5 linked regions of the Canis lupus familiaris genome follow. The protein of the gene in region 4 interacts with the protein of the main gene of each other region in a pairwise test. Links are inferred from orthologs where the notes say so. Each region holds a gene or a part of one and is shown on either strand. Other genes may lie near its edges. The genes, in order: SEC23IP, EXOC7, NUP62, SSC5D and NECAB2.

Evidence for each region.
Region 1: the proteins of SSC5D (region 4) and SEC23IP interact in binary tests that used the Homo sapiens proteins (3 or more experiments, as listed by UniProt). The two-hybrid records come from large-scale screens. The link is inferred for Canis lupus familiaris from reciprocal best matches to the Homo sapiens genes SSC5D and SEC23IP.
Region 2: the proteins of SSC5D (region 4) and EXOC7 interact in binary tests that used the Homo sapiens proteins (3 or more experiments, as listed by UniProt). The two-hybrid records come from large-scale screens. The link is inferred for Canis lupus familiaris from reciprocal best matches to the Homo sapiens genes SSC5D and EXOC7.
Region 3: the proteins of SSC5D (region 4) and NUP62 interact in binary tests that used the Homo sapiens proteins (3 or more experiments, as listed by UniProt). The two-hybrid records come from large-scale screens. The link is inferred for Canis lupus familiaris from reciprocal best matches to the Homo sapiens genes SSC5D and NUP62.
Region 5: the proteins of SSC5D (region 4) and NECAB2 interact in binary tests that used the Homo sapiens proteins (3 or more experiments, as listed by UniProt). The two-hybrid records come from large-scale screens. The link is inferred for Canis lupus familiaris from reciprocal best matches to the Homo sapiens genes SSC5D and NECAB2.

Annotation. Positions count from the first base shown.
Region 1 is NC_049249.1:30,334,549-30,338,063, forward strand, and holds part of SEC23IP (SEC23-interacting protein), read left to right. Parts: intron 1-287; coding exon 288-443; intron 444-850; coding exon 851-953; intron 954-2,163; coding exon 2,164-2,349; intron 2,350-3,049; coding exon 3,050-3,212; intron 3,213-3,515. UniProt on the Homo sapiens protein: Plays a role in the organization of endoplasmic reticulum exit sites. Specifically binds to phosphatidylinositol 3-phosphate (PI(3)P), phosphatidylinositol 4-phosphate (PI(4)P) and phosphatidylinositol 5-phosphate (PI(5)P).
Region 2 is NC_049230.1:5,431,681-5,435,106, forward strand, and holds the end of EXOC7 (exocyst complex component 7), read left to right. Parts: intron 1-259; coding exon 260-325; intron 326-607; coding exon 608-728; intron 729-1,007; coding exon 1,008-1,103; intron 1,104-1,900; coding exon 1,901-1,964; intron 1,965-2,201; coding exon 2,202-2,243; intron 2,244-2,371; coding exon 2,372-2,505; intron 2,506-2,747; coding exon 2,748-2,850; 3' UTR 2,851-2,923; downstream 2,924-3,426. UniProt on the Homo sapiens protein: Component of the exocyst complex involved in the docking of exocytic vesicles with fusion sites on the plasma membrane.
Region 3 is NC_049222.1:107,332,787-107,336,301, forward strand, and holds part of NUP62 (nuclear pore glycoprotein p62), read left to right. Parts: intron 1-701; 5' UTR 702-765; coding exon 766-2,349; 3' UTR 2,350-3,515. UniProt on the Homo sapiens protein: Essential component of the nuclear pore complex. The N-terminal is probably involved in nucleocytoplasmic transport.
Region 4 is NC_049222.1:102,980,899-102,984,413, reverse strand, and holds part of SSC5D (soluble scavenger receptor cysteine-rich domain-containing protein SSC5D), read left to right. Parts: intron 1-1,702; coding exon 1,703-2,020; intron 2,021-2,285; coding exon 2,286-2,462; intron 2,463-3,515.
Region 5 is NC_049226.1:68,838,594-68,842,746, reverse strand, and holds the start of NECAB2 (N-terminal EF-hand calcium-binding protein 2), read left to right. Parts: upstream 1-1,353; coding exon 1,354-1,569; intron 1,570-3,814; coding exon 3,815-3,839; intron 3,840-4,153. UniProt on the Homo sapiens protein: May act as a signaling scaffold protein that senses intracellular calcium.

The sequences.
Region 1 (3,515 bases), on a different chromosome or scaffold from region 4:
AGATCAAGCCTCACATTGAGCTTCCTGCTCAATGGGGAGCCTGCTTCTCCTTCTTCCTTTGCCTGCCACCCTGCCTATTTGTGCTTGCTTGCTCTCTCTCTGTAAATAAATCAATCAAACCTTAAAAAAAAAATAATGACAGCAATTTTAAGCATTATAAGCCATACTTGAGTGGCATCATCTGTGTTGAGATGCTTTCAACTAAGCAGTTCCAGCTTGAACTTTCGAATTTTTTATTGTATGACATTGGAATGATGATCTTTTATTGTATTTTTTATTCTTTCTAGGTTTCTGTTGTTTACAACTCATTAGACTTTGAACCAGAGATTTTCTTTGCCTTGGGATCTCCAATTGGTATGTTCCTCACTATTCGAGGAGTGGATAGGATAGATGAGAACTACAGGCTTCCTACGTGTAAAGGATTCTTCAATATTTATCATCCAGTGAGTGACTTGAACTACTTCCTATTTTGAAGAAGATAAAACATCTACATAGAAACACCAATATAGATAAATCATCCTAATAGATTTTCAGATTCTTTTTTCTTAGGAACTAATTCTGATTTTGATGTACACCCAGCTCTCTGTCCTAAGAGAGAATAGTCTGATACCAACCAATAAACTTTTCTGCCAGAAAGCCTTTGTTCAAGGAAATAATTCTGTTGCTTTGCTTGCAAAGTAGTTTTCCTCACAAACTTAGAAGTCGTCTTATAATTACCAGTAGGTGAATGACTTGTGGGGAAAAAAAATCAAAATCTCTGGTTTGCTAGTTATCTATTTTGTCATACAATCAAGATACATAACTGAAGATAAGAGAGCTTTTCCAAAATTTCCAATTCTTCTCTTTACAGCTTGATCCAGTGGCGTATAGATTAGAGCCTATGATTGTTCCAGATTTGGACCTGAAAGCAGTTCTCATTCCACATCACAAAGGCAGAAAAAGACTTCATTTAGGTAAAAAGCAAATACTATAAAAGCTTGTTTCCTTCCTGTCATTTTGTAATCTGTTAGTCCTAATGAAGTATGTTTTTCCTGTCACTTGTAATTGAACTGTGAAAATCTTAACACCAGGTCCTTTCTGACAAAATTAATTTTATTTAAGAGCCTGCTGTGTTTAGAGCCTGTTTATTAAATGTTCAGAAGAGCTATAAAGTTTTGAGTGAGTTGCTTCTCCTTGAATATTTTGTTCTAGATGCGACGTTCTGATGGTTGAAATACTTAGGAATGGGGGATGTTGGTAATAAAGTGATGAGATATACCTATAGATTTTGATAGAATTTGGCCATAATTTTTGGAGTTGGGAAGCAGAGTAACACTTGAACTAAGGACCAACAAGACATAAACTTGATGCTAAGTCAACTGAGCTGTTACTTCCTTGCTAAATAGATAAACTTTTCCAATTAAAAACATTCATTAAACGTAATGGATCACTAAGAATTCCAAATGGGGTTTAGGTTTCTCTTATGCCTGTTAATGGTGTGTATCATCCAGGGGCTTAAAGGTTTGGGTGGAAGGGATGGGAGTGCAGTGGAGAAGAGGGGGTATGTGATCATGCCCTTTTATTTAAAATTGGATTTTCTTTCTTTTTTTTTCTTACATCATTTTTTAAAAAATATTTAACTATTTTGGGATTAAAATGGGAAATTTGATACATACCTTAAAATCAAAAGGATTTATTAGACAAAAGTAGGAAAAATGAAGGGGCAGAGGTTTCTTCATTTTTAAATCAGAGGTTTATATTGTGGTTATATTAGAATCTCAAATTCTCAAAACCATTTTACCATTACAGATAAGAAAAGCAGTCATCTTTTTTATCTTGTGGGCCCATTTTTTTTAACTTACAGAAAAAAAAGCACATGAACGTGTCTACATTTTTATAGTATTTGAACTCTTCCTTCCCTCTTCTTTTTTTTTTTTTTTCCTTTTGTCGAGAGAGGGAATTTATACAGTTTGCCTGGATTAGCTTTGGTTATTAAAAAAGATGACAGAATAAGCCTCTATAAAACATTTTAATATGTTGAGAGTTCTTGGGTGAGAAACTCTGAGTGTTTGGCGTTTAAGAGAGGATTCATCCAGTCTGAGAAGAGTGTTAACTTTGAATTTTTATGGCACAGAATTTCACCTTGTGACTAATTAAGTTGATGTGTCATCTTCATCTCTTTAGAGTTGAAAGACAGTCTCTCTCGTATGGGATCTGATTTGAAGCAGGGTTTTATTAGCTCCCTGAAAAGCGCTTGGCAGACATTAAACGAATTTGCCCGCGCTCACACCTCTTCAACTCAGCTGCAAGAAGAACTGGAAAAAGTGGCCCATCAAATCAAAGAAGAAGAAGAAAAACAAGTAGTTGAAGGTAAATTTGGCATTTGAGGCATTTTCTAGTACAAATGTTATTTGTAAACATAATGAATTATTTGTATACATTATGAATTATTTAATGATGCTTTTCCATTCTGGTCTTTTTTGTTAAAATATGGAGGTTGTTTTTTTTTTTTTTTTTATATAAAGGAAAATCTGTTGTGATAAACTGTACTTCAACATGGATGCCATTCTTTTTCCAGGGTTTTGCCTGATAGTTAGTTGCTGGACTTTTTACTCTGCAATCTTGTTTTTGTTGAGATTCCTAAGGCCAGAGTGGAATATCAGAGTTAAGAGCAAAGCTTGTATTCAGGCATTTTAAAGACCCACTGTGAGAAAATATCTTCTGATGTTGTCTACCTTTGTCGTTTTATTATAGACTTTATCTGCATTGTCAGGTCATTGTGCCATGATGCTTTTGACTCTCTTCAGATTCTAATTCTGTTTCCTTTCTTTCTACAATGCTCTCTCACCCCTTTTCTTCAAAACTGTCAGCTCGTTGGCTCTTTCTCCTCTCTCGGGTAACCAGCCCCTCTTCCTTCTCCTGGCTCTTTGGAGGAATGGGAAGTGAGCCTGGTATCTCCCCAGGTTGCTACGTGTGTCAAGCGATATTCTCTTGAGCCCAGAAAGTCAGCTAAAGTCAAAGGATAATGATTAAGTGATTGACTTTGATATTGAAATGGTTTAAATTTTAGCAGAAAAGATTGTTGAAAGTCCAGATTTTTCCAAGGATGAGGACTACTTAGGAAAGGTTGGAATGCTAAACGGAGGCCGCCGAATTGACTACGTTCTTCAAGAAAAGCCAATAGAGAGTTTTAATGAATATCTTTTCGCTCTTCAGAGTCATTTGTGCTATTGGTAAGTAGTTTCTTCTTTGATAACATTCACGCGGCCTGTAGGTGCTGGCATATACAGCAGTTTTAGGGGAGACTCTTTTGCCGATTTATCACTTACGATGAAATATTAATTTCAATGGCCATATATTCAAAATCCGTATTTTCCCCCGTTATTTTATTATCCACAAGATGGCAGTGTGTCATCTGCCTTTTACCAAAGGACTTTAGTACGTGCACACTGATTTTTGTAGGGGTACCTTTCACAGAATGGAAGTGGTAGGGACTTTGAAAAGCCATCCTTTCATATATCCCCTGTCACCATGGA
Region 2 (3,426 bases), on a different chromosome or scaffold from region 4:
TCCTGCCACCTATCACCATAGAGGGGCTTGCCCTGGGCTCCAGGAAGAGGCTGCCCAGGGGGTGCTCCTGCAGCAGGTGGGAGCTTGGCAGCTCAGCAGACCAACCCCTTCCCCGTTCTGCGTCCAGTCTGCCTGAGGAAGGCTCAGGGCCCCCCCACCCCCACCCCAAGGTTTCCACAGCTGCTCCAGGGGCTGAGGGAAGGCCAGAGAGGGTCCTGGCTGCTGCCATGGCTGCAGTGACAGGCCTCTCTTCTCCCAGAGACCAGCTCTTCAGCCACCAGCTACAGCTCCGAGTTCAGCAAGCGCCTGCTAAGCACGTATATCTGTGAGTGCTCTCTGGCTGGCCGGCAGCCCCCCGCGCCCACCTGCCCACCTCCACTGGCGTTTCCCTTCCTTCCTCTGTGCCCTCCTGCTATTCCCAGTGCTCTCCTGAGCCTCACCTTTGGAATCGCAGCCTAACTTCCAGTTTAGGGGCTGAGCTGGGCTGTGGGCAGAGGGCTCCTGAGGCTTGTGGAGTCTGGAGTTGGGAAGGACAAGGCTCTTGGGACAGGGACTGGGTCATTTAGGTCAGACTGCCCATGGATGTAGCCACACCCTCCCTGTGCAGGTAAAGTCCTGGGCAACCTGCAGCTGAACCTCCTGAGCAAGTCCAAAGTGTATGAGGACCCAGCTCTGAGCGCCATCTTTCTGCACAACAACTACAACTACATCCTCAAGGCCCTGGAGAAGTGAGTGGCTGCAGGGGCCTGCGCCTACCTGCCCTCCTGCCTGTCCTCCCACACTGCCTCCCTCCCTCCTGCCTGCCCTCCTGCCTGCCTCCCTCCTGGGGCTGCCTGCACCCTCTGCCTGGCCAGGTGGGGAGGGAAGCCCTTGACCTCCTGGAGTCCTAGGACCTGGGGCACAGGCATAAGGCAGGCCTCCTGCTGGTGCTGCTGCGGAGGCTCACTACCCTTGGGCCCCAAGAGCCAATGCGGCCCTCCTCTGCTTCCTCCTTATCCCCGCCCCAGGTCTGAGCTGATCCAGCTGGTGGCTGTGACCCAGAAGACTGCTGAGCGCTCCTACCGGGAGCACATTGAGCAGCAGATCCAGACCTACCAGCGGAGGTGGGCCTCCACCGTGCCCCCCCCCCCATTACCCCCAAGCTTGTGTCCTTCACTCACTCTTCCTGTCCAAGCTTCATTACAAGTGGGGTCAGGAATGGGGAACTGCTCCCCTATGAACTCAATGCTCCCCTTGCTGTTTCACCACACTGACCAGGTGGAGGGGAAGCCCCTCCCTACCACCACCTGCTCCCTAGGGGCTGCTATGGCCAGCCTCTCTAGAGGGTGGTGTGCCAAGGGTGCAGGCTAAGAAGACTCAAAAAACTGCATATCAGAGGTGTGGGGATGTGAGGCCAAGCAAAGAGCAAGGTTGTAAGAATACTCAAACTTCCTGAGCCTCGCTCTGTAGTGCTCCCACTGCTCCTCACCCGTCCTTCAGAGCTCCTTCTGTTCCTCGCCCCCAGGGCTCCCTCTGCTCCTTGCCCCTGTTTCTCCTTGGTTTGTGTGTTTCTTCCTGTAAGTGGTCTCCCTCCTCCTTGCTTTGTCTGTCTTCTGCTTCTTTCTTCCTCATCTGCTTCTCCATCTTTATTCTCCAGGAGATCGATGTGAGGCATAGCTGCTAGTTATTTGTTCAATTTATTGAATGTTGTTTCCTGTTCTTAATTTTAAAAGCCAGCAGCTTGAACATTTTCTTTTCCCAAGGAGAAATCTCACTGTGCTCTGCTGAGTTCTGACCCCCATGGATCGTTGACCTCCCCTCCCCTAGTAGATTTAAAAAACAACACAAACCAGCCCCTGGAAAGAGGCAGCAGCCTGAGGTTGTCCCTCCTCTGCCTTCTGCCTCTCTCTCCACCTGACAGCTGGTTAAAGGTGACTGACTACATTTCTGAGAAGAATCTACCTGTATTCCAACCCGGAGTCAAGGTGGGCGGAAGGCCTGGGCTGGGAAGGGGTGTCTAGCAGATGTGATACTTTGTGTCATGTCTCTGGGGAAAAAAATGGACAAGCATCCTGCTGGGATGAGCAAATGATGCCTGCCTGTGGCCATGACGGTATCCAGAAGAAGGGCCAGGCCCAGGCTTGGGTGTTTGGGGAAGGAGCCAGTGGCAGGGCAGATCTGCTCTGAGGAACACTTTCTCTGCCCTCTCTCACCACCCCCAGCTGAGGGACAAGGAGCGACAGATGATCAAAGAGCGTTTCAAGGTGAGTTGGGGTCTTCCCTGCTCACCCAACCCCCCACCACCTCCAGTGCTTCCTGCTGCTATTGCAGGGACACGGACCCAAAGTCTTTATCTTTGGGTCACTCCCATTTCCACTTTTTTGGTGGCCAGGGTTTCAATGATGGCCTTGAAGAATTGTGCAAGATCCAGAAGGCCTGGGCTATTCCTGACATGGAGCAGAGAGACAAGATTCGCCAAGCTCAGAAAAACATCGTCAGGGAGACGTACGGGGCCTTTCTGCACAGGTGAGCCCTTTGTCTCCACCTTCCCAGCCCTGGGCCCCGCGCTTCCCCTGCTGGGTCTCTGCTCTTCTCTTCTACAGGAACACACAGAGGGGCGTGAGGGTGTGGGTGGCAGATCCAGGGCCGTGGGCTTTGCTGTGGGGCCAGAAAGGGACATCTCTCAGGGGCAGCCTGTCAGGAGCACCTTAGGCTGCGGTGGAGCTGGGGGGCTGGCCAGGCTGCCCCTGACCTCAGTGCCTGGGCAGGTATGGCAGCGTGCCGTTCACCAAGAACCCTGAGAAGTACATCAAGTACCGCGTGGAGCAGGTGGGCGACATGATCGATCGCCTCTTTGACACCTCTGCCTGAGCCTGCTGCTCTCCCTGCCTGGTACTGCCCGGTCAGCCCTGTTATTGGACAGATAAACCAGTGTTAACTCTGGGCCTGGTGAGTTTGACATCCTTTGGGACAGGAACTTTTTCCACCCCTTGTCCAGCCCAGAGCTGTCCCTGAGCACCCCCCCGCCCCGAGTCCTGGTCTGCACTTCTTCCTGGAACCCACCCCCACCCCTGACCAGCACTCTCCCAGAATACTGGGGCTCCTTCCCACCTTAGGTTTCATGACCCTCAAGCTGCATGGGCCACGTGATGGCTTCTAGACAGGAAAGGACAGAGAAGGAGGACAAAGGGCTTGTGCCCACAGCTGCCTCGTGTGTACAAGAGCAGGAGGGGAAACAGCCTGCCTCCGGCCCAGCTCAGAGCTGCGGGTGGGGACCACCTGTTTTAGCCCTGAAGTGTGGGTAGGGCAGGCCACAGCAAAGCCAGAGAGCATGGAGAAAAAGGTAGCAGGATTGACCTGCTCATGGATTTATGCAGAAAACATAGTTCCCGTCACCCACGGTCCTGAAAATCGGGGGTGTTCTGCCTCCCAGGCATCCCTCAGGTG
Region 3 (3,515 bases), about 4.4 Mb from region 4:
ATGAAGGGGTGCCTGATATGCACATTATCTGTGCCCTACACCTCCAGGTGAAGGAGGCCACCTCTTCTTGAGACCCTGGTCCAAGTTAGCAGTCCTGGGACCCATGTCCCATCCCTGAGCTAGGAAGAGGGCAGGCCCTGCCCTCTGTCCTCCTAAACCAGGGCAGTGCCTCATGTCCTACCATACAGCTCAGCTTTCTGGGGCTTCTCTGTGAGTTCCAGAAAGGTACTCGGGGTGGCACTCAACCAGATCAGTCCACCACCCACCACCTCCCACTTGCATTTAGCAGGGAAACTTGGGGAGCAGTTCCTAAAGGTGTTATTTTGTGTGCTTCTAGTCCCACTTGCCTGAAGTGTCTTGAATCTGAGCTCCTCCTCAGGGCTGAGGTCAGTTCAGGTGCCTGCCCTTTGGCCTTCTCCTCTAGGGCAACAGATTACTCCTTGTGCTGAGCATGGCCGTGCATGTCCCAAGCACATCTGGCTCCTAGCACATGACTCCCATGCATGAGCTTATGCTTCCAGATCTTTCTTTTCTAGTTTTAGCAGGGCCTGGCTAGGTTATGACAGGGAGTGAGATGGTGGCCACATATTCTAATTATCCAGTCCCGCCACCCTACAGACTGTTCCATCTTGCATTGAGGTTGCCTTTCCAAAACTGCCATCTGATCATGTGACTTACTCTGCTTTAAAAATCTTCCCAAGGTTTCAGACACCGACGGATTTGCTTTGGGAGCCAGAGTAGCTGCCGCCACCAGAATCTGGAGCCATGAGTGGGTTTAATTTTGGAGGCACTGGGGCCCCCACAGGTGGGTTCACATTTGGCACTGCAAAGACGGCGACAACCACTCCTGCTACTGGGTTTTCTTTCTCTACATCTGGCACTGGTGGGTTTAATTTTGGGACTCCCTCCCAGCCAGCTGCAAGTACTCCTTCTACTGGCCTCTTCTCCCTCACAACCCAGGCTCCAGCAACACAAACCCCAGGATTCAGTTTTGGAACCACAACTCCTGCCACAGGAGGAACTGGATTCTCCTTAGGCATCAGCACACCAAAGCTAAACTTGGGCAGCGTGGCTGCCACCCCAGCTACAGCACACCCTGGCGGCTTTGGGCTCAGCAGCAGCACCCTCACCAATGCCATCTCGAGCACTGTCACCTCCAGCCAGAGCACAGCACCCACCGGCTTCATGTTTGGCTCTGCCACCACCTCTGCTGCTCCTTCCACCACACCAGGGGGATTCTCATTCACAGCGGGGAGCACGTCCCAGACCGGGACCTCAGGTTTTAATATTGGCTCAATGGGGACTTCAACCCAGCCCACGGCACTTGCTGGATTGCTCTTCACTCCTGCCACTCCAGCAGCCACTGGAGCGGGAGCCACACAGCCAGCTGCTCCTGCACCCACTGCTGCCACTACCAGTGCTGGGCCCACACTGTTTGCCTCTCTAGCAACTGCTCCAACCTCATCGACCACCACTGGGCTTTCTCTTTGTACCCCATCAACCACGGCTGGAACTCCTGGAGCTGGAACACTGGGCTTCAGCTTAAAGGCCACTGGAGCAGCTTCTACGGCCTCCACAACAACATCCACCACCACGGCCACCACCACCACTGCAGCCACCACTGCAGCCACCACTACCACCACTGGCTTTGCCTTGAATCTGAAGCCCCTTGCACCGGCCGGGATCACCAGCAATGCACCGGCTGCTGTGGCCGCACCACCTGGCCCTGGTGCAGCCACTGGGGCATCTACCAGCCCTGTGATGACCTACGCCCAGCTGGAGAGTCTGATCAACAAGTGGAGTCTGGAGCTGGAGGACCAGGAACGGCACTTCCTGCAGCAGGCCACACAGGTCAATGCCTGGGACCGCACACTGATTGAGAATGGGGAGAAGATCACTACCCTCCACCGTGAGGTGGAGAAAGTGAAGCTGGACCAGAAGAGGCTGGACCAAGAGCTCGACTTCATCCTGTCTCAGCAGAAGGAGTTGGAAGACCTGCTGAGCCCACTGGAGGAGTCGGTCAAGGAGCAGAGTGGCACTGTCTACCTGCAGCATGCCGATGAGGAGCGTGAGAAAACCTACAAGCTGGCAGAGAATATCGATGCACAGCTAAAGCGCATGGCCCAAGACCTCAAGGACATCATCGAGCACTTGAACACATCTGGAGGCCCTGCCGACACCAGCGACCCACTGCAGCAGATCTGCAAGATCCTCAATGCGCACATGGACTCGCTGCAGTGGATCGACCAGAACTCGGCCCTGTTGCAGAGGAAGGTGGAGGAGGTGACCAAGGTGTGTGAGGGGCGTCGCAAGGAGCAGGAGCGCAGCTTCCGGATCACATTCGACTGAGGCGCCAGCCAGCTTCAGGGCCTGTGGGTTCTGAGGGTGTTGGGGGCAGTGGGTGATGCGCAAATTATTGTCTAGTTTTTGGTTGCAATGAATACTTGTTTGTTCCTTTCTTCCAAATGGCTGTGCCGTTGAGAACACTTCTGTGGTTTGACTTTGCAGTAATGAAAATGAAAATATTCCAGTGCTCTGGTCCAGACGGCCTGGTGGATGTGGTTTCTTTGTGTATCTTTTGTGTATCCCTGACCCGTTTTCACTATAACCACCACCTACCCCATCCTTCTTGCTCCAGCCAAGTGCTAGAGAAGTGCTGGAGAAGTTCATCCAAAACCATCTGTCTCCCAGCTAGGATCTGCTTAGGGTCCACTATGTCCCACACATAGTCTTAGGTACAGGGAAAAGAGTCTCTGTCCTCGACAAGGCAGCATCTTGGTGTGAGGTGTGTACCTGTGGAAACTCACCACCTGTACAAAGAAGGGAATAGTGAATAGGACTGACCAGGAGATGTAGAATTTCAGAGGAAGGACATGAGTGCAGTGTTAAGACAAGGGTCAGACTTGCACTAGCAGGTCTTGTCTGGCTGACATGACACCCCATCCTCCAGGTCTCTTTATCTTAGGCCTTATCTCTCCAGAAGCCCTCTCAGCCACCCCAAAGCTGGGTCAGGTGGCTATCCTGTGGCCCCTATACCACACAGAGCGTGCATCTTTGGTAGCACTTGCCACACTGTCTTGTGTAGACTGTTTACTTCTCTGCTTCCCCTTTAGAGTATGAGCCCCCATGGGCCGGGACTGTTTCTTGTTCCCTTTTGTGTCTTCACTACAGTCCCTCTCACATTTTCAAATTTGAATGAATGAACAACGGAGGTGAAACATGGCATCAAATGTTCAGCCCCAAAATGCCTGCTGAAATGGCCACAGGGACCAGAGATGGCCACAGACTTGGTTCAGAACTTGTTGATGCTGAAGCAAACCTAACTTGTTACAGTGAGATCCATGGTGATGTCCAGAAGACAACCAGTTGTTGCCCAAATATCTTTTTGTATTTGTCTTTATACTTTGCTGCACTGTCTATGACTCTATGTTGCTTTCCTAAATAAAATGTATTGTGGAAGGAAAAAGATGCCAATAATGTGGATCACTTAGAAAGCTGGGGGAAAAGAGCAGGTT
Region 4 (3,515 bases):
CCTCTTCCTGGCCTACCTTTCCCTCCTCCCCCACTCCTTCCTTCCACAAATTCTTTTTTTTTTTTTTTTAAGATTTTATTTATTCATAGAAACAGAGAGAGAAAAAGAGAGGCAGAGACACAGGCAGAGGGAGAAGCAGTCTCCATGCAGGGAGCCTGACGTGGGACTTGATCCTGGGTCTCCAGGATCATGCCCTGGGCTGCAGGCGGCGCTAAACCACTGTGCCACTGGGGCCACCCCACCTTCCACAAATTCTTAAGAACCATTCTGGCTTGGCACAGACATAGCCTGAGACCCAGTCCTCACTCTCATGGATCTGACTGGGTCTGCTGCCGGACCCAGCAGGCACAAGGCAGCAGCAGTAGCAGCCCACAGCTGTAAGTGAGAAATTATGAGGGCAGCAGGCAGACAGGGGGTGCACACCAGACAGGGGGGCAGGGGGTGGGATAGGCTTAAGCTGACTCATGTGAAGGGGAAGAGGACAATGACACCTGGGTCTCTGCTCTGTGCCAAGCAGCGTGCTGGGCACCTCCCCTGCTGTCTCTGAACCTCACCCCCATGTGGACGGCCACTGGGGTGGGTGTTCTCACCCATCTTCACAGGTGTGGAAACAAGGTTCAGAGAAGTAACCCTAATAACCTAGGTTGCAGACTTAGCCCCGGACCCAGAACTGGGCCAGCCGGGCCTGTCCCATTGCACAGACAGATGTGCTGTGCCTGCCGGGGATCTGAAGCACAGGGTGCGGAAAGGTGGAGACAACAAGGCAGGGGCACCGGGCAGCAGACCAGGGACAGTGAGGGTGGCTCCCCCATGTGCCCTGGGGTGGGCAGCAAGTAGGGGCAGAAGTGGGGCCTTCAGAGCCCAGGTCATGGGAGATGAATTGAGGTGCCAGAGAGGGCTAAGCTGCTGGGGAAAAGAAGTGAACCCTGTTGAGGTACCAGGGTGTAGAGGGAGCTCGGTGCCTTAACAACATCTTTAATTCCCAGAGCAACCCCATAAGGGAGCTCCTCATCGACAATGAGGACATGCAAACGCAGGCAGGTCAGACCCTTCTCTGGTCATTTTTTTTCTCTAGAGCACTGACGGGTGATTTTGCTCCCCCCTCATATTGGGGGGTAGAAAAATGGCCTCTCTACTCCCCAGTGGTGACCCAAGTCTCACCCCAAAGAGAAATGTACTCTAAAACCCACAGGAAGTTAGTATGCAAACTAGTGGTTCTCCACAGAGGGGGTTAGGATTCCCTTTTACCCAGGGGACATTGGGCAAAATCTGGTTGTCACGCTGTAGAGGCTCACATATGGGGAGTGGCGCCCAGGGATGCTGCTGGACATCCTCTGGTCACAGGATGCTCCCCCCAGCAAGGAATGACCTGTCCCCCCATGTCAGAGTGCTGAGGTGGGAAAGCCCTGCTATACAGGCCTGAGGCAGGCAGCTGGGGAGTAGGATCAGGGCCAGTATCCCCACAGCTCGCCACTGGGGAGGCAGGGGCCTCGGGAGGTGGACAGACGACATATGGACTCTTGGTGAGTGACTTCCAATCTCAGAGCAAACAGAAGGGGGAATGTCTGCTGTCCAGCGTCATCATGGGCACGAAGCCTGACCCCGTGGACAGCTTAGTATGTGAGCATGTGTGCTAGCTTCCTGCACAGGGAGTACACACCGCAGCCTCCCCGTCTGTTACCCCTCTTCTCCCCACATCCAGGCCCGGCCCCACGGCTCCGCCTGGCTGATGGTCCCCATGGGTGTGCGGGCCGCCTGGAGGTGTGGCACGGCGGGCGCTGGGGGACAGTGTGCGACGATGCCTGGGACCTGCGGGACGCCTCTGTGGCCTGCTGGGAGCTAGGCTGCGGGGCTGCACTGGCTGCCCCCGGAGGCGCCTTCTTTGGGGAGGGGGCTGGGCCCATCCTCCTGGACGACCTCCGGTGTCGGGGTAACGAGACGGCCCTGCGATTTTGCCCAGCGCGGCCCTGGGGCCAGCATGACTGCCACCACCGGGAGGACGCAGGGGCCGTGTGTGATGGTGAGGAGGACAAAGGAAGAGGCTGGGGATGTGGGTGCTCTAGAGCCTCAAGTGGAGGCATGAGAAGTGGGGAGCTGGTGTGGTTTTGCAACGTGTGCCCCATGTGCCACTCCATCCCTCTGTCCTGACTGCCCACTTGCCCCACTTTGTCCTCAGCCTGAGACCTCAGTTGGCATCCATAGTCCCAGGATGAGGGTGTGGGGAGCTGTCCGGCATTACTGAGGCAGTGGTGGTCACCTCTTCCCCTGTCCCTGCGTACCCCCAGGTATGCCTATTGGATACATCCCTCCCACGGCCCCGGCAGTGGACAGCAACCACTCTTTGCCCAGGGAGGCAGCATCCCGGCCCCCAGGCCCCACAGGGAGCCAGGCCCCAGGAACCGCCGGCATCTCGCCTCCTCCCGCCTCCCCCACTGCCCCTCGGGAGCCTGGACCAGAAGCTGGTGAGTCTCTGTCTCCCCAAGAAAACGGGGATTTACCTGCTGCTTCCTCCCCCTTAGCCAGCCCCCAGACACCCCTTCTCCCTGCTCAAAGACTGTCTCATCAGGGCAAGGGCCAAGACAAGGGTGGAGGAGAGAACAGAGCCCTGCGCCTGGAAGGGTCCGTGCTCAGTTAAATCCTCTGCTGTTGCCATTGTGAAATGTGTAGTTTTGGGGAGGCTGTCTCCTCACAAAGACCAAAAGGACTGGATCAACCACAGTTGTCATTTTTTTTTTTTTTTTTTTTTTTTTTTATTTAAGTCACAGACAGAGAGAGAGAGAGGCAGAGACACAGGCAGAGAGAGAAGCAGGCTCCATGCACCAGGAGCCCGATGTGGGATTTGATCCCGGGTCTCCAGGATCGCGCCCTGGGCCAAAGGCAGGCGCCAAACCGCTGCGCCACCCAGGGATCCCACACAGTTGTCATTTTTAAAACATGGGCCTTGATATCATTCAGGTGCAGTGTGGCCTGCAGACAAAATGGGACTGCCACTGGAAAGAGACAGTGTTTCTATCTCACACAGTTGAGGGGCCACATGGGGAAGCAGCAGGGGGCTGGCCAGGGGGCGGGGGTGGGGGGGCGCAGACAGAGCCCTGACTGTTGCTTCTGTGGGAAGGAGCAGGTGAGGTCAAGTAGCAGGCTCAGGGTCAGCCTGCGAGCTGTGGGGTTCAGGGGCTGCCCCTGGTTGTCGGGCGCCCGGCTCTGGGGGCTAAGGGCAGGTAGACAGGGGCCCCGAGTGTGAGTCCCACGGAGCAGGTTGGGGGGGCGGCTGCGATTGGCTGGTGTGCACACAGAAGGCCCGCTCCGGTGTTTTCCTGCCTCTAGGAATGAGCTGTCCCTGGGGAGGGTGGGCAGTCTCCCCAGGGTCAGTGAAGCCCCAAGATGGCAAAGCATCAGAACGTAGACAAGGAAAACACACTGTTAATGCAGCTGTCGCTCACGGGTGGGAAACCTGTTCTTACCAGGGGCCTCGCTCCCCACCTTTCCCAAGTCTCCTAGCACCGCTGGCTTACGTG
Region 5 (4,153 bases), on a different chromosome or scaffold from region 4:
CGGGACTCAGACTAGTACCAGGGTGGGAACAGATGCTGCAGGCCAGGGGGGGCAGTGATTTAGGGTGAAAGCTGCTGGTAAGAGCTGGGGTCACCAGGGCCAGCTGAGCCAAGAGGACTCCAGGCTCTACTGCTTCCAGAATCAGGTTCCAATTAAACCCAGTACCTGCCTCCACTCCCGTGTCTGAGGATTCTGTGTGTGGGGAGGGGGCTGGGTGCCCCGGGAAGCACAGGGCCATGTGGGAGGTCCTTGGGATGGGGAGTTTTGTGATAAGGGATGGTGTCCAAGTCTGGGTACAGCTGTGTTAGGGACGTGAGGGGAGGGTGTGTGGGGGGAAGGGTATGCTGGGGGGGCCTTCACAGCCCTGCCCACCCCTCCAGCCTGGCCCCTGACTGTCTCCCACGCTCCCTCCTGGTCTCACTGTCTCTTCAGTCCTTCATGCTCCCTCAGCTCGCGCCGGCCACAGGGCCTTTGCAGGGGCGGGTCTCCCACCCAGGACACTTTACTCTTCTCTCTAACTCCTCTTCCATTGCGGTCACCTAAGGGCCACTTCCTCCAGGCAGCCTCCTCCGTCACCAGGGCAGTCCCGTTGGTGGCCCAAGGTTCCCGGGCGTTCAGAAGTAATAGTTCGTTTGTCTACGGAATCGCTCCCGCAGCCGACTCTGCCCACTTGGACGTAGGTTCCAGGAGGCCGAGGACAGCCACCCCCGCCCCCCCGCAGTCCCATTAGTGGAACCCAGCACCTGGCACGGGCCCTCACTCATCCTTTGGACAGGTGGATGGTGGTGGGTGGGGCGTGAGGGGAAGAGGGTGCTGGGGCGCCGGCCGGGCGCTCGGCTGCGGCAGGGTTGGGGGGCTCGCAGGCCCCGGGCGGGCGGGCGGGCGGGCGGGGGAGGCCGAGCGCGGGGGCGCCGGTTCCTGGAGCTGCCGCCAGCAGGGGGCGCCCCGGGCTCGCCGGACACCTGCGCTCCGGCCCCTGCGTCGGCGCCGCGGGGGGGCCTCGGGGGCTCCGGGAGGGGGCGGCCCCGGGCGAGGCCCGCCCGCGCAGCCCGACGCCCCGACCCCAGGCCTCCCGGGCGCCCCTTCCGTGCGCGGGCTGGGTCCGGGCCCGCAGCGCCCCCCGCGGTTGGCCCCTGCCGCGGCGCCGGGGCGGGGCGGGGCGGGGCGGGGCGGGGGACGCGGGCACGTGGCCGGGGTCCGGGCGAGCGCCCCCCCCGCGGTGGCCGCGGCCGCGGGGCCGAGGGAGGCGGGGCGGGGCGGCGGGGCGGGGAGGGGGCGCGCGGGGGCGGGCCGCGGGCCGGGCGGGGGTCGGCGGGCTTCCGGGCGGCGCGGGCGGGCGGGCGGGCGGGCGCGATGTGCGAGCGGGCGGCGCGCCTGTGCAGGGCCGGCGCGCACAGGCTGCTCCGGGAGCCGCCGCCGCAGGGCCGGGCGCTGGGCGGGCTGCTGCGCTGGGTGGGCGCCAGGATGGGCGAGCCCCGGGCGCCGCTCGCCCCCGCCGCCCCCGCCGCCCCCGGCCCCGCCGCCCCCGGCCCCGGCTCCCCGCGCGGGGGCACCGCGGTCATCCTGGACGTGAGTACGCGCCGGCGGCCCCCGGACCCCGCGCCCGCCCCGCGCCCCCGCCCCGCGCCCCCGCCCCGCGCCCCCGACCCGCGACCCCGCGCCCGCACGCCCCTCCCCTGCCCCCACGCCCCTCCCGCCCCGGCTCGGGATCCCCACCTGCCTGCTCCGAGCCGCGACCCTTCGACCCGGCCACCGCCCCCCTCCCTCGGTCCCGGCTGCGCCCTCGCCCCACCCTCCCCCTCCCGCCCCTGCCGCCTCCCGCCCCCTCCTCTCCACCCCGCCCCAGTCACTACTTCTCCGAGACCCCCTCCCGCCCGGCCCCAGGCTCCGGTGCCCCGACCCATCCTGGCCGCGGACCCGGAGCCCGCGTGTTCCCGCCCCAAAGCCCCCTCCCCGCAGCCAGCAGCTCTTGGAAAGCGAAGCCCCCTCCTGTCCCCCCTCTCAGCGGATCGGGGCCACCCCCGTCTGCGGAGCCTGGACCCTCCAGCCTGAGCCGCGTCAGCCCTTCAGCCCTTCACGCCCGGGGTGGCTCAACCCCCACCCATCCGCCCGGGAGCCGAGCCACCCCCCTCTGGGAAGCCCACCTCCCCCCGCTCCCCCGCCCTCTCCCCAGGAGTGGGAGGAAGCTTCTGCAGGGCGGACCGCTGGGGGAGGGGGCGTCGGGGAGGGCGAGGCGGTGGGGGCCCTGCCCCGGGCACCACCCCACCTCCCGACAGCCTGGCCGCGGCCACAGGACGTGCTTGTCCCGGGGAGGGTCCTGGGCTCCTGGGGCTTCTGGGACAGTTGTGTCTGCAGGTCTGATTGTTAGGGGGAGCGTGGATCTCCTCTCCCCCTTCCTTCCTCTCTCCTGGAACCCACAGTTGGCCCTGGGCAGAGAGGGCTGGGCAGGGAAGGGGGAGCTGGGCGGTGGGGTGCTGGAGGCTGCCCCCAGAGACATGCAGGCACGCGCACACGCACACACACTCTTGCACAGCCAGATCCTCTCTCAGGTCCCCCACAGAGTTCGTGCGGGGAAAACCGGGGCCACCCTTGCAGGGAAGCCCTGTCCAGACCCTTCCCGTTCCCAGCAGTGCGGGCAGGAGGCTCGGGGTCCTCCTGGTGCGGGTGCGGGTGCGCTCCGAGACTCCTCTATCTAGGAGATGGAGCGATGAGTGGGGGTGGGGAGCGGACTCCTGGAGCCACCTTAGGTGGTCTGCACCATTCACTTGCTTGGCGTGGCCAGTGTGGGCACCTGCGGGGGGGACCCCAGCCCCAGAGAACTTTGCAGTGGGGAGCTGGGGTGTGGAGTGCCCAGGCGGGCAATGGGTGCTCTGCTAGTCTCCCTTCTGCCCCAGCCACGGCAGCTCCTGCTCGAGCACCCCCAGCTAGGGTTTCAGCTGAGGGAAGAGGGGGGTGATGTGTAGGAAGCCCTTTCTGAGCTGCTGCTTCAGTTTGTCACAGTCTCGAGTACTTGAAGGGATGGGGGGGACATCTGTCCTTGGCCCCAGGGCAAGCACCAAAGGTCAGATGGTCAGAGGGGTTAGTGCCTCCCCCTGCTCCTTCTGTTCACCTGTGGCTCACCTTCTTCTAAAAATACCAGGAGGACTTATCTGGTCTCAGCTCAGGTTTGGGGGGGGTGGCTGTCACTCCCCCATCCCTCCCCCACCCCCTCCCCATGCAGCCAGAACCTGGCACCTGCAGCTGGCTTTCTGAGCTCTTCACGGCCTGCTTCCACCCACTCCCCCACCTGAAAAATAATCCAGTGCTGCCCCTGGCTGGCCCAGTTGCCAGGCCTGGAGGTTCCCTTAGCAGACCTCTCTGTTGACACTAAACCAACCTCCGTGGGGGGAAATCGGGGCTCCCACGGGCTTCCGAGAGGGGTGCAGCGGTATGAGGCGTGTGGTTGTGTCCGTGGGACACAGATTCCCATTGTGTGACTGAGCGTAGCACAGTGGGTGAGGCCGCGTGGACTGCTGGCTCTGCAAGCACACCCGCAAGCATGTGGATCGGTGTGAGCGTGTGTGTCCACGTGTGTGTGCGCATGTCGGCACAGAAGAAGAGTGGGTGCTGCTTCCTCGCAGGCGCCTGGGAAGGCTGTGCCTGAAGCATCCCTCCTGCCCTGGATCCCAGCGGGGGCCTCCTGGGGGAGGGGCTGCTCAGCTTCCCAGGTCCCCCTGCACCACCCCCAGGCGTGGGATCTCAAGATGAGTTGGGAGTCACTGGAGGGCGCCTGCCCCTCTGGGGCCCAGGCTGACTCCACTTCTCTTCTCTGCAGATTTTCCGCCGGGCGGACAAAAATGGTGAGTTTCCCTCCCAGGCTGTCCCCTGAACAAGGTCCTGGCTCTTTCTATCCTCACGCTTCGGGGGCAGGGACCCGGGCTTGGGACATGGACCGCCTTGTACGTGATGGTTTCTGAAGTCAAGAAAGCCGAATCCTGGCTCTGCCCTGTGCCTCAGTTTCCCTGTCTCACAGTGGAATTACACATAGTTCCTGCTTGGTAGGGATGCCACAGGGATTCAAGGAGTTGGTGTCTGTGATGCCAGGATGTCTTGCACATAGTAGGTGCTTGGTGTACTTCAGCCCTCATGCCGCTGGGCTGGAGCAGCCCGGGTA